Linked DNA regions of Oryzias latipes. The protein of the gene in region 4 purifies or fractionates together with the protein of the main gene of each other region. This does not show direct contact. Links are inferred from orthologs where the notes say so. Each region holds a gene or a part of one and is shown on either strand. Other genes may lie near its edges.

Evidence for each region.
Region 1: the proteins of AP-3 complex subunit mu-1 (region 4) and ap3b2 purify together in Homo sapiens (co-immunoprecipitation; 3 studies listed by BioGRID and IntAct, counting the BioPlex papers as one, with this or other methods). This does not show direct contact. The link is inferred for Oryzias latipes from reciprocal best matches to the Homo sapiens genes AP3M1 and AP3B2.
Region 2: the proteins of AP-3 complex subunit mu-1 (region 4) and ap3s2 purify together in Homo sapiens (co-immunoprecipitation; 3 studies listed by BioGRID and IntAct, counting the BioPlex papers as one, with this or other methods). This does not show direct contact. The link is inferred for Oryzias latipes from reciprocal best matches to the Homo sapiens genes AP3M1 and AP3S2.
Region 3: the proteins of AP-3 complex subunit mu-1 (region 4) and rabl6 purify together in Homo sapiens (co-immunoprecipitation; 3 studies listed by BioGRID and IntAct, counting the BioPlex papers as one, with this or other methods). This does not show direct contact. The link is inferred for Oryzias latipes from reciprocal best matches to the Homo sapiens genes AP3M1 and RABL6.

What each region holds. Positions count from the first base shown.
Region 1 is NC_019864.2:10,522,292-10,525,859, forward strand, and holds part of ap3b2 (AP-3 complex subunit beta-2), read right to left. Parts: coding exon 3,404-3,568; intron 3,305-3,403; coding exon 3,174-3,304; intron 465-3,173; coding exon 426-464; intron 1-425.
Region 2 is NC_019861.2:32,344,461-32,347,592, forward strand, and holds the end of ap3s2 (AP-3 complex subunit sigma-2), read right to left. Parts: intron 1,815-3,132; coding exon 1,707-1,814; intron 1,175-1,706; coding exon 1,049-1,174; 3' UTR 502-1,048; downstream 1-501. UniProt on the Homo sapiens protein: Part of the AP-3 complex, an adaptor-related complex which is not clathrin-associated. The complex is associated with the Golgi region as well as more peripheral structures.
Region 3 is NC_019867.2:28,386,820-28,390,387, reverse strand, and holds part of rabl6 (rab-like protein 6), read right to left. Parts: intron 1,528-3,568; coding exon 1,387-1,527; intron 355-1,386; coding exon 249-354; intron 176-248; coding exon 72-175; intron 1-71. UniProt on the Homo sapiens protein: May enhance cellular proliferation. May reduce growth inhibitory activity of CDKN2A.
Region 4 is NC_019873.2:23,928,956-23,933,071, reverse strand, and holds the start of AP-3 complex subunit mu-1, read left to right. Parts: upstream 1-1,250; 5' UTR 1,251-1,441; intron 1,442-1,653; 5' UTR 1,654-1,658; coding exon 1,659-1,931; intron 1,932-3,027; coding exon 3,028-3,199; intron 3,200-3,293; coding exon 3,294-3,431; intron 3,432-3,518; coding exon 3,519-3,604; intron 3,605-3,696; coding exon 3,697-3,830; intron 3,831-4,116. UniProt on the Homo sapiens protein: Part of the AP-3 complex, an adaptor-related complex which is not clathrin-associated. The complex is associated with the Golgi region as well as more peripheral structures.

The DNA.
Region 1 (3,568 bases), on a different chromosome or scaffold from region 4:
GCCAGACGCTGCTGCTGCTGCAGATCTGACAGCTCATACAGGAACAGTTGCATGGCAGCCTTTTTTTTTTTTTGAGCACCAGGTGTTGCCTTCATGTCCAGTTGCAGCTTTTAAAAAAACAAACAGGGAGTTTTTCCATTAAGAGAAGTGATTTCTCCTACAAGGTGAGCGTGGAAGTGTCCCAAACCCAGTTTAGACCCACGCCGAGGTAGTTTGAGAGGAGGCCCTGCTGAAACAATCACTTCTTTAATGGCGGGGGAAAGAGGGTGCTGACTCTTGGGGGGGGGGGGGCTTTGGCTCAGCTAAGCACAGAACAGCAACTAGTAGGTCAGGCAAAAGGGGGGTGTCATGAAGCATTTGGGTTCTCAGCGGCTGTGTGGGTTGGGGCTCAAGGATGTTTGGCTCTTTGCCGCTAACTGACTCACACTCGTTAGTGTTGTGACTCTTTCAAGCAGCGCAAAAACCTGGCGGACGTAGAAAAGAAAAAAAGGTTGGAATGGAGATGAGGGGGGGTGAGAAAAAGAAGAACAGTTTTTTTCTTTAGAGAAAAGTCAGGAGAGCAGTAAAAATCAGACAGAGGAAAGGTTAAAGGGCAACACATCACAACGTGTGAGAACAGTCTGGATTACAGAGACAAAAGAAAAAAACCCTCCAGATTAAAAAATTAGCTCCAAAACGGCCATAATTAGAACTCCAATATAACAGACTGTGTCCCAATTCCCTCTCCACTGCCTAACTACTTAAAAACTATAAAGTGCGGGGCTATCAAGTGCCCTAAATTTTAAAAGCAATTCCGACACCATGATCACTACATTTATTTAATGGCAAATATGACATCACAGATTTCCTGAAGTATAAACCTAATTAATATGATCATTTTAAGAAGACTATTCATGAATACACCGTCTTCTGATGATGAAAACTGGATGATTTATAATAAAAAAAGGTTTAAAATGCATTTCTTTTACATGAAAAATTGTTAAAACGCAATGGATCGTGGTCTATATTCATCAGTCTAGTGAGCAATGATGCACACTGGTTTGTCGCAGAGACTTCTGGGTAATTTCTTGGGCACTGGATTTATTTTTGCACGCTGAAAAAAATGGCGACCGCCCTTTATAGCACGCTAAGTAGTGAAGGAATTTGGACACAACCTGAGTTCAAAACTGCAGATACACTGCAACCAAAGAACCTTTCTTATTCCTGCTTGATAACACGGCAAGAAAACAGACATAGATGCAATTAGTATGAGTGTTTTTCCTCCAATCAAATCATGCTTAAATGATGAAGATGAGGAAGAGGAAAAACACAGAACCACACTGGATTTGTGACAGTTGTGTCACAAATTTCACAAGAGTGCAGGAAGGGGGAAAAGGGAAACACCCTGTAGCTTTGAGTTCCCAGATCAGGTTTTAATCGTAATATTTGTCCATTTTTAAACCTATTTTTATTTAACAAGGAATAGATTTGAGGGTAAGGATTAGATTAGATTAGACCATCGTATCCAATCATAGCGGTGAAAGGCAGGAATTAAAATGAGAGAAGAAAAAGAGTCCTGGAGACTCCACTGCACTCCACACCACAGGGAGGAGCACCTCTCGCCAGTCTCCAAGCAGGCTGATCCGCCCCTCGCTGGAGGTCACGACCTCCTCCGGCTGCGTGCGGTGTGCAGAGGGGGAGACAGCGGGTGAGTGCTGCTGATGAATGGCTCTCCTGGCTGGTGGTCATTTTAAGCGCTGCTTCAGAGTGGTTTGCTGCTTTGAGGCTTCACGTATGAAGCATCACCACACCCATTTTTGTCAACTTTAGTTTGACAATTTATTTGAATTATTGTGAAAAATCTTTGTTACCAGGAAAAAAAAGGGTGAATTTTGTTACTAATAAACAAAACAAAAACTAATTTATTTCATTAGTTCCAGGTAATAAAGCCTACATTTAAATAATTGCCAGATTTTTTACTAGCTGATTAATTCATAATTATTAATTGCACTTCAGAAACGTACAAATTAGACAAAAAGTTTTTGTTTTCCCCTTGTTTTAAAAAAAACATGTTTTCTATGTTCTTTAAATGAACCATTGGCTCTTTTGAATTTAAGGGTTTTGTTTTGTTGAGTTTCTTTAAAAATGAAACTTAAAATGAGCCAAAATCGAGTCATTAAAACTTTCTTTTATAACTTTTTTTGTATTTTAGAAACCAGTATAAAATTACCATGATTGTTTAACCAGAGTTAAAAGAAATGTATGTTTTAAGTAAAACAAAAACTACCTCACAGCTGCATGTCTGCATAAGATCATGTTAAACTATTCAAAAGTACAGATAAACTTTTTTTTGTTCCTATCAAAGTGACAAATCTCTACAAGCAGAACAGAAACAGTGTCTCCATGGACTGCACCTGTGGCCTCATCTTGAAATCTGCATCACAGCTGATTAAATGAGGAGTTATGAACAACATCATGCAACAAAATCAAGCCTTAGGGTCATCGCTACGTGACACCTAAGCCTTGATGTCCTGGTTTCTCTGAGATCAAACTGTTGCACCAGAAGCACATGAAGCGAAGGGGCTGGAGAAGAGGAGAGCTTTGCAGATCATTTTACTCCCTTATAAACTTGAATTGAGCACATTTTGGGAAAAAGAATCCAAATGAAACAGATTTGGTGTGAACTTTTGCAGTGGTGTCCCTGCAGACTTGAAATAAGCCAGCTCCCTTCTGCAGAGCATGTGCTGGTGGCTCACACAGCGGTGAGGAGGGATGTGGGCGGGGCGAGGAGGCTGCTGCCCAACCGAAGCCAGTGTAGCAGAGAGGATCATGGGAAGCGCTGAACTCCACATAAAATCTCCAAAGACAGATTTTGATTTTTTTCTTTTTCTTTTGAGCTTTAGTTAGGTTTGGGAAAACACTTCATTCCTCCTCTATGGGTGTTAGGCAGCATCCGTGTGGCGAGACGATCCCGATGAGGTCGCCATGCTAACGAGCAGAAGATGAATGAATGATGAGTGGGAGAAAATCAGTGTTATATTGGAGTTTGAGGTAACTCTGGCGACCCTCTTCAACCCCCTCTGAAGCACTGCTCTGCGAAAGGAGCAACCCTCGCTCCCCTCCATCTTTTGGGGCCCCTGTAGACCCCAGAGGGCCCCTGTGTCTCTGTATGTTACTGTTCCCACTGCACGCACAGACTCCTTCACCTCCACGTTGCGCACGGAGGGGTCAGGGGCGGCTTCGGGCCAGTCAGGCAACTCCTGGTAGCCCCCGGCTTTGGCATTAAGCAGGTGGGACAGTGAACCCAGCTGGAAGTGGTCTCGATCTGGAAAAAAAAACCCCACAAGAATGACTGACAGAAACCGGAATCTGTGACTTAAATACACGGAAGGAAGCATAAATTAGAGTCTCTGAGCGTCTTTACCTTTAAATGGAGACTCGAGGACCGGAGCAGGTTTGAGGGCGAGGAACAGTTTCTTTGCGTACTTGCTGAGAGCACCACTCTTCTCGGTGGGAACAATGAGCTGACGAATGAAGCGTGCGCGGTCACGGATGTCATAGTTCTGGTCATACTTGGCCAGGTTGAGGA
Region 2 (3,132 bases), on a different chromosome or scaffold from region 4:
GAAATCATTTACTGCACAAAAAACATGTTTACCACATGGCGGCAGCTATAAAAAAAAATTTTTTTCTTTTTTTAAAAAAAGGCGCCCCTGGCAGTGAAAGCAGGCACAGCTTAAGTGAATCCAAGTGTGTTGCATGAATTTCCAGCAGAAGTGTACGTACCGGTCTCAGAAAGCCTGAAACATGGGAGCGGAGCTGCAGAGATCCCTGCCTGATGTGAGCCCTTCGCATCTGTGAGGCTGGGAGTGGGAGTGGGAGGTGAGGAGCGCTCGCAGGTTTTCCTGGGAACTCAGGGGAGGGAACAACTTCCTCAGTTGAGAAAAAAAAAAAAATAGATCCCTAAATTAGCGGCAAGAGGGACCAAAAGAATGCGGCTGGATCAACAAGACTAAAAAACTTCATTGGGGTTGAGCAAAACCTCCGACCGCCTGAGGTACAGAATGTTCTGCTGGTTTCACCGGAAGACCTGCTCACCTGCAGATACCAAGACAGCACCGACAAGATGGATGGGTTGAATTTATTACTTCATTTACCTTGTCAAGAAATGCCTTGCAGACTGAGATATAAGACTCCACTTTGACGACATTTCATGGTAAAACACGACATTGGGACCACAAAACACAACTAATTACACAACTTTACAGATGAACAACCAGATGTTGGTCTGCTGGAAGTCAGCGTTTCAGCTGTCGGCACGAGCTTCACTTAGGGGAAACATTCAGCTTTCAAACCGACTCCCGAAATGAAATATATTCCAGACGGGGGGGGGGGATAAAAAGAATAAATCACAATAAAAAGAAAACAAAACAAATGTGTTTGAGCAATTAAAGTCTCAGGAAAAAGTTAAAGTCCTGAAGCCTTTCAGTCAGGCTGCTGATGAACGTGAGGCCGATGGAGGAGTGCAAATGATTTCAAAGCCTGTTTCAATGGGACTGCCTCTCCGCATGCAGCCACAGGAATGAGCATCTGGGACTGGAGGGGGACCTGCAACACGGCGAAGGGAAGCAGGGACCATAACCACCAAGATGGGGGGGGGGGGGGGGACGCTCCTCAGAACGGGGAGAGGCTCGGCACTTTGATGTTGATGTCCCCGATGTTGATGTTGCGGGGAATCTCTGGAAGGTTCATGTTCTTCACGGCGGAAACGGCACGAGCGGGGGCCGCAGACAGACCTCCCTGTGCGGGGGGGGGGGGGGGGGGGGGGGGAGAGAACACCTTTAAAATACATAGCGGCTTCACAAGCATGGAAAGTTGAAATGCTGACGCTGGGGACGGGTTGGCAACCTCCCCAGAAGATGCTGAGGAGTTTAGACCGACCAATATGTTTAGGCTGTAAAAACAGCTCGTTTAAAACAAGAAAGAAGACACCAGGAAGTGTCAATCATCCGGAGTACGAGGAGATATTTCTGTCATTAATCACGAACAGACATTTTGGATTTGAGACCGTTTTTTCCAGATGTTCTAAAAGCAGAGTTTTAGATGTCAATCAGACAATGTGAGGGAAGTTTTTCTGCAACTTCCTGACGTTTCTTTTCATGACAGCAGTCACTTTAAGAGGCTCTGACTGGTCTGTTTTTGCTTTTCCTTAACCCTCAGAGTCACCGAAACCTCGCGGGACCTCCGCTTTTCGCCGTCACACCAGCTGCAGCTGATGAGCTAAAGAAGCCTGTGAAGTGTTGCCCTTTGATGCGGGCAGCGCCGCTCTGACCTCTGACTTCTCCATGCGGTTCTGCACCTCGACCTGCGCCACGATCTCGTTCATGTTGGTCTCCAGCACCATGCCCCCCATCACCACCTCCTGCAGGATGTAATGGACCTGCGGAGCGAGCAGAGCACAGCGGGTAGCGCAGTCCGGAGTTCGGCAGAGACCAGCTCGGATTCGGCACCGGCGTCAAACTGTTTGCGCTTTCAGGACGGACTCACGGTCGTTTGTTTGTGTGCGTTTAAGCCTCCAAAGTTACAACAAAAGAAGAAATAAAAATAAAAAAACAAACAAACATCTCGAAGCTTCATATCGGGAACATTCCTCAGATGAACCCCACATCCCCGCATGACATCAAGCTCCCGCTGAGGAAATTCAATCTAGATGACCACAGATGTGCCTGATCAGCATTCTAAGCTGGAAAAACTCGGAAAAATTGAGAAACATGGTGGTTAAAACGCCAATTAAAACATTAAAGAACGCACATGTGTCCAGGCTCTCTTTGTCAAAGGCTTTTGAAAAACCAACAGCTGCTGCTCCGTTTGTCTTCTGATGGTCAAAAGGTCAAGACTTTTGAATTGTTTCCTCATAATGACAAAAATGACACAAAATAAGACAAACTTAACCAATCGTCTTTGTGAATACTTGCCCATTACCTCTGTTTTTATTTTTTCATTTTATAGAGCAGATTTGTGCACATTTTAGGAATGTGAAGAGATTCTACAGCAATAAAGTGTGAAGACATAAAAAGTACATGTATGCTTTTAAACCACAAAACGTGTCGTTTTTCTGCAGACAAACACAGTTTATGTGCCAAAGGCTCCAATATTGTGGGGAAGAAACTGTATTGATCAACAGATAAACATTTCCCCTCAAAGATCCTCCTCAACCTCTTGCCCCAAATGCAGAAGCTGCAGCTCATAAATGCTCCAGAACTTTAAAAACAAGCTTTTCTAATCAACATATAGAAGAAATGATAAAAAAATATATATATATACTCTTTACTAAAAGAGAAATAAATAGCAGAAGTGTAAATGTCCTCTTTTTTTTGTTTTGCTTTTTTATGTCCAATTAAGACACAATTAGGAAAAACGGAAAAGTCATGACCGCAAAGTGAAAACGTTCAACTCATCTCTGAGGCTGCCTCCCTGTGGCAGCAGCACACAAAGACATGCATATGGCATTTGTTTAAACGTCAAACGAGGGTTGTACTCAGAATAGAAACATTCTTTGTTCCAAACCTTTGCGCTTGGTCTGTGTGTGCTTTAACCTGGAGGACGCTAGCAACTGCAGTGATGGGGAGATGTCGGGTATGAAGGTACGCTGACGAGTGTTTTTGACATTGACTCAAAAAGTTCTAATGAGTCTGCATTCATCCGACCACATTTGAATGAGTTTCTGTGTGTCATCCTTGTGTTATGGCCTTTTAAGA
Region 3 (3,568 bases), on a different chromosome or scaffold from region 4:
GTTAACAATGATTAAACCCATAGATGTCAACAGAGCATCTGTTTCAACTTTTTGAGCTCTCAGACACTTACATGTCGTAGTTCTGGTCTTCTGTCTCCTGCTGCACTGACAGCTCCTCCAGCGTGGCGTCCATGTCCAGCTGGTTGGTCTCCAGTTGCCTCAGGAGCGTCTCTCTCTGCACACATACACCGAGGCCACATGGGACATTTGCAGGACTGAAGCGATACGGTGAAGGACAAAAAAGTGACCTGCAGCTGAAGGAAAGGAATGTTGAAGAATCTGTGGAGGTACTTCAAGCCGAACCCGTTCCTCATGGACGACTCTGCGTAGTGGATGTAAGAGGATCCCATCGGCCTGCAAAAAAAAGAAGAAAAAAAAGAAAGAGCCGCTGGTTAGTTAATGGTAAAGAAAAGCTTAACTGTCCTCACAATGAGAGGTCAAAGTTCACCTTAAAATTGTTCAGCATCTTCATTTAGCATCTGAACAAAGGGGATCAAAGTGTGTCGACTCTTTGGCTGTAAGCAGCTCTGTGATTGATGAATGTAGGACTCCCACTGCTACAAAACCATTCCTGACGGGGTTTCCTGCTTTCCCTTCAGTTTGCATGAGTGTGGACTAAAAATGAGCCGACATTCATGTCCTAAAGTCCGTCCTCCCATCAGCCTTGCTGTTACAGCCTCGTCTTTAGAGGAATTCTGACTCCAGGTTGCTGATGTTCGGATCGTCCAGTGCAAACAGTAACATGTTTGTCTGTGTCTGCAGACTTAGCTGGAAGTGTACCGGTGTAGCGCCTCATTGCCTGTTAATGCAGGAAACACCATTCCAGTCCCACGGCGTTTAATCAGTGTGGACATGCACATAAAAGCAACGATCAGCTACTGAGGGGGCTGTGTGGACAGGAAGTGGAATGTGAAACGGTGGTGGAACCTTTCAGTATTCGTGAATCCTTGATCCACAAAAATAAACTTTTTAGTGGCAAAAAACTGTTGCTTTGGATGTTGACGGAGGAATCGATTATTTTTTAATGAGTAAAAACTGCTTTAAAAACCTCCATTTCTGCTGTCTTCAGACCACATCTGTTGATTCATTGAAAAGCATTTGTTCTTTTTTGGAAGGTTTTCCAAAAACAATCTTAACAAATAACCAAGATCCAGTAGTTCTCATTTTATTGTCTCCAATGTGGATGTTTGTATTGATTTAAAATAAAAAACCCACAACTTTTATTTGAAGCGACAGAAAATATTTTAAAAAATCCTTTTTTTTTTGTAGACAAGTTGGCAGCAAATGTCTTTTTGTAATAAGCAGCTAAAGCAGAAGACGGTTCGGATTGGGTCAGATTGTGGGTCAAAAAGCAGACCATCAGAACTGATAGTAACGTTCAGTTACCTGTTCAGACCAGCGATCAGGTCTCTGATGTCGTCGGGCAGGATGACCCGGTGCTCGCCCATGTCCCTGTGGTTCCCCAGAACACACACCGGGACGTGGGTGGGCACCTTGGGCAGCTCTCTCATGATGTAGCTGAAGGTCCTGGAAGTGATAAAGAAGAGAGAACCTTCAAAGGCTGCAGACAGAGAGCTTTCAGCAGCAACATTTGGAGAAATGAAGGGAAACAGACATTTCCATCCGTTCTGGAAAGTGACGACAACTGGATTTCATGTTCCGCTATAGACCGATTCAAGCAGCATCATAAGGGTGATGAACGCACAAAGGTTTTTTAATGCTGATCTTCAGAGCAAAGAGAGAAACAATGAGCACTGCTTGATCAAGAAGAATGTTTTCTTTTATGGGCTTCAGTTTATGCACCAATCATTGGTTTATCAGCTGCTGTTCAAACTTAAACATCGTCAGACAAATCCATTCTGAATCAAGCTGAAATAGTCCAGAGGCCCCAACTTGGTCTTTTTTATCTGCATTTAGTCTAAATGTTTTCCTTCCTCTTTGTAAAATTAATTTCAAAATACAAAACACAAAAAAGACCTTTCAGGGACTTTTATCTTTGAAGAGCAGTCATTGATGAATAAAATCAAATAATCTATCAAATAGATGCAGGTTTTGTTTTTAAATGAACACACAGAAAAGCGCACATCTGCAGACTAAAGAGACCAGCAGGTTTCTTTCTCGTCTTACATTTCTTAAGGCTGAATTTTTTTAAAATTGGAACAGATTGTATTTACAACCTGCAAAATCAATTCATGAAATTCAGGAAACTTTTTAAACCAAAATACTTTTGTTAAAACTTTTTATTAAGCAAAACAAAAGTGATTTGCAAAAAAGACGTACAAACATAATACATATCATATTAAATAATTGATCTCACAATAATAAACTTGTCATTCTTTAACAGATTTTCGTTTTTTTTTTTAAACCCGACAATTTCTAAACAGTCATAAATCATAAATCTCATGCTTCAACACAATGAACCCCTGCCCCCCTCTTCATGAAGGTCCCATTCAGATCATATATAAGAACTACACTGAGTGACCCCTCCCCCTCCAAACAGGAAGTACCTGCTGGCTCCATTAAGCCAAAACACCAAAAAGCTTCTTTAATGTGTTCTTGATAATCCTAATATTTTTCACTATGTTATTTTTTTCATGCAAGTTATTGCAATTATAAACTGACCAATCAGATGCCTCAGTAACAGTATGTAGTCTCACTTTAAACATCTGACAGATTCTCCCAAGCCCACTTTCAGGTGGTAGGGGTGTGTGGACTTCCAAGTTCATTCTTGGTTGGCAAGAGCGGTTGCCATGGAAACGTCGAACGGCCCGGCTCACAAGAAATGGCAACTTAATTGACTTCAATTTGTTGGACCTGGATTTTCATGGGTGATACCAGACCTGCTCGGTCCAGTTCTCGTATACAGTGGGGATAAAAAGTATTTAGTCAGCCACCAAATGTCCAAGCTGTCCCACTTGAAAAGATGAGGGAGGCTTGTAATTTTCATCATGGGTAAACTTCAACTATGGCAGAAAAAATGAGGAAAAAAAATCTCAAAAATCTTATTGTCTAATTTTTAAAGAATTTATTTGCAAATTATGGTGGAAAATAAGTATTTGGTCAATAACAAAAGTTCAACTCAATACTTTGGTAATGACAGCAGTCTTCCCAAGGTTTTCACAAACCTGTTGCTGGGATTTTGGCCCGTTCCTCCATGCAGATCTCCTCTAGAGCAGTGATGTCTTGGGGCTGTTGCTGGGCAACACAGACTTTCAACTCCCTCCAAAGATTTTCTATGGGGTTGAGATCTGAACACTGGCTAGGCCACTCCAGGACCTTGAAATGCTTCTTATGAAGTCATTCCTTTGTTACCCGGGCAGTGAGTTTGGGATCGTTGTCATGCTGGAAGACCCAGCCACGTTTCATCTTCAATTGCCTTGCTGATTGAAGGAGGTTTTCACTCAAAATCTGACTATACATGACCCCATTCACTCTTTCCTTTACACGGATCAATCATCCCGGTCCCTTTACTTGAAAACAGCCCTAAAGCATGATGCCCCCCCCCCCCCCCCATGCTTTACAGTAGGTATTAGGGCTGCATGATCTGATGAAAACTCTCGCTGTGCGA
Region 4 (4,116 bases):
ATTTTCCAATGATTGAATGATTGTAACTCAGTTGCATGTGGCCAAACCTGCATTCAAGTCTTTGACCCTTGCATCTAATTTTCACCATAACCCTTCCTCCTGCCTCCTCCTCCTAACTTTGATACCTTTTTTTTTCTTCAAAAATGTAAAAACAACATAAATAAAAGTAGCTATTTAATCTATAAAGCTGAGACAGATGATAGGTTTTAACTGCTGTTCTGTAGGTACTGGGTGTATATAATGTCTGATTTGAGCAATTAATTCAAAGGAATTTTGAGGTTTAAAGCCAAATGTAGTTTAATGAATGTAATATTTTGTTAATAAAATCAGGAAATGTAACCAATAAAATTGTGAAGTAACTTTTCATAATCAGTAAAACCATACAGGATCTGTTTTTCCATGTCAGGAAGAAATCGAGAAAAAATTGAGTCATTATATCATACTGACAATTACTTCCAAACTAATTTTTTGTGATCATAGGTCGAAATTAAATATATGAATGTTTCTTCACATTGTTTACAAAATCTACCCCCCCCCCATATTAATCCTTTTGTCTTTGCAATTATCTTTCGAAAATGCAGTCGTATCAAGGAAGTTTGTTGTTTTCCCTGGGTAGTGACTTGTAGGTAAGTTGTTGCTGCCATAGACAGTATGGTTCCTGCCCAACTCAGTTTAACGAGGAGCTGTAGTAGTTATAGGTGCTACTTTTTCTAATCATATACATACAATAAAATGGTGAATAAAACTTCGGAAACTTCCAAATACTGTCATTAATTGTGTTATACCATGGGGAAATGCGTACGTTTCACAACAGTACACGTTAAAATGCCATCAAAATACAAAAAATCATATTGAGTTTTCCAAATAGTTTTTCTTTAAAAATTTGTAATATTCTAACAAAACCTTTCCACACAATAATGCTGACATACAACAATGGATTAGCTATTTTAAAGAACACCGAAAACTGAATGGTCTGATGCGCGGCTTAGATCGTTGTCAAAGGTTGCCTGCAAAACTATACACCGGTTTTTTTAACCCACTGACTGACAACAATGAGAGCAAAACAGCTGTCCTCTGATTTTGCCTGATTAAAAATAAACCCACTAACTTTAAATAAAAAAATGGAGGGGAAGAATATTACACTTTATTAGATTATCGTGAATGCCACTTCAATAGCGTAAATATACCCGTTTTTCAACTATTAGTCTAGTAGCACAATTCAGTTCTTTCTGCTTACGTGTGCACATAGCTGTAGGCGTCCCCTGAGATGCCTATGAGATATACTTCCATATTGGCACCAACTGAGTATTCTTCCCTGTAGTTGAATCGAGTTTTTTCTTTTTTTAAAGCAAGTGATCTACAGCTAAAACTTTGTAAAAGCTGTAAAAATATTTCGCACTTTACATGTTGGTCTTCCTCTGACAGGATTAACGATAAGTTGGTAAGTATGATTCATATTTTTCTTTCTGTTATCTCACTCAGCACAATAAACTTTTAACTTTTCAGATAATATTTCAAAAGTCTTTTCATTTTTTTTATTTTTTACAAACTGTTTAGTTTAAGTTATTTGAATCATGTGACCGACATTGTGTAGTTATCGTGTGCCATCTGGTCTAAGAGAACCAACTCAAACAACAACGTTTCCTTCTGCAGCTGAGATGATCGACAGTCTGTTCCTGATTAACCACTCAGGAGACATTTTCCTGGAGAAACACTGGAAGAGTGTTATCAGCCGGAGTGTTTGTGATTACTTTTTCGAAGCTAAGGAAAAAGCAGTAGACCCAGAAAATGTGGCCCCTGTCCTGCAGACCCCACACCACTATCTCATCAGTATATACAGGGACAAGATCTTCTTCCTGTCTGCCATCCAGACTGAAGTGCCTCCACTTTTTGTCATCGAGTTCCTGCACAGAGTTGGAGATACATTCTTGGTAGTATTGATTTCTTACCTGAATGTCTTCTTTGTGATAAGTGTGTGCCAGATCTTAAGTGCTTCTAGTCAAGCTCTAGGAATAAGTTTCCTTCTTGCTGCACTTTCATGTAAGTATATAATATATATTAAAGATATAACTAAAAAGTCCTTTATAAGACATTCTTTGAGGCATTAGTTTGGCCAAATATAAGAATTTCAGCAGCAACCTTAACCTTGACTGCAGTTAGTATTTTGTGCTGACTTAAACCAGGGATCGTCTTTGGAATTATCATTTAAACCAATAAAAAAGTATTTTTATTTCAGACTCGAAGTGTAAATGTCAACACCATTAAAAAGAAACACAAGACATACAAAATAATTAAAATACAAGTGAATACACCAATTATAAACCTAATAAAGTGGCCAAACCAGTACCTCCAAATTGGGGACTGGTAATGCAAAGTGCTGTGCCTGATGTTGGTTAGGGTTAAAATGATTTTATTCTTGGAAGCGTTAAAGACGTTGTATAAAACCATAAATAAGATTACTTAAAAGAGCTTGGAGAGTGTTGACTCATATATCATACGTCTTTTTAATAAAATCCCATTATATACCCCATGCAGGCTAAATGGCTATGGAAGGATTTGTTAATACACGATAAAGATATTTTACTTTGTGACTTATGTTTTATTTTGTCTAAACTAAACTGTGTTTATGACGGAAATTGTCATGGGGCACTGTAAGAAATGTTGCTGAATGGGTTTCATGTTAAAAAAAGGAAGAATTGTCAGATTTCAGTTAATAGTAAATGTACCATGTGTACATGCAGGTATGGTGACAAAGCAGAAAAGGAAAAACACAAAAAATATCTTTGAAAATATTAAATTGATAGTTTTGTGTGCTTTAATGCAAATTAAAGGGATTTTATTAAATCTGCGATCCAAAGTAATATCAAAAGGCTCTTCAAGTGCTTAGAAGTACAGCACTCTCAATTGTGCTACACTCTTTCTAATAGAACACAGAACTTACGTTATTGCCCATATTGGTCTGCTGACGCTGCTCAAAGGGACAGCCACTGTTGTCCTTTCAGTAACATTTTTTTTTTTTTTTTGCAGGATTACTTTGGAGAATGTTCAGAAACTGTAATCAAGGATAATGTAGTGATTGTTTACGAGCTATTGGAGGAGATGCTCGACAACGGATTTCCGCTCGCCACCGAGTCCAATGTCCTCAAGGAGATGATAAAGCCTCCCAACATTCTGCGGTCAGTCGTCAATACACTAACAGGTAAACAAACGTCACAAGGAACATTGTGAACTTCTGGCTCTTTAAGTCACACTGAAGGGCAGCGTTAACATTACATTTCATTTGTTTTTTCCAGGAGGTAGCAATGTTGGAAACACTTTGCCAACAGGTCAGCTGTCTAATGTTCCATGGAGAAGGGCTGGTGTCAAGTACACAAACAATGAGGCATATTTTGATGTGATCGAAGAAATTGATGCAATTCTCGATAAATCAGGTACTTGAAAAGAAGAGAAGAATAAAGCAGTTGGTGGGAAATGCAGTTAAATGCACAGTAATACCGGTGACTTTGTTTACTGAACAGGGACAACAGTATTTGCAGAGATCCAGGGGGTCATTGAAGCTTGTGTGAGGCTTACCGGGATGCCGGATCTCACTTTGTCCTTCATGGTGGGCTCATTTCCCCCCATATCTGTATTTAGATCATCTGTGCACTTTTGTTCAAGTCTAAATTTTGCTCATTATTGATGTATTATTGACAGAATCCTCGTCTCCTGGATGATGTGAGCTTTCATCCCTGCGTGAGGTTCAAACGCTGGGAGTCGGAACGGGTTTTGTCTTTCATCCCTCCAGATGGAAACTTCACTCTCATGTCATATCAAGTCAGCTCTCAGAAGTAAGTGATTCATGGGGAGAGCAATGGGGTGACTAGGGCTGGCTATGGATTATGAGGAGGACTGCATATATGAAGATGTCATCCTATCCTCAGGTTATAAAAATTCAGAGCTGGATAAAAGTTTTCAACCACAAAGAAAATTACTTTCAATATACAGTTTAGCCTCTTAAAGCATAGTTTAAATTGGAGGTTGTTGCAATTAAATTTTGGCATAACTCTGTTCCTTTGTCATTTCTATGATTTTTCATAAACTTTATTTATAGTCAATTAAGGGTTTCATGTTGCA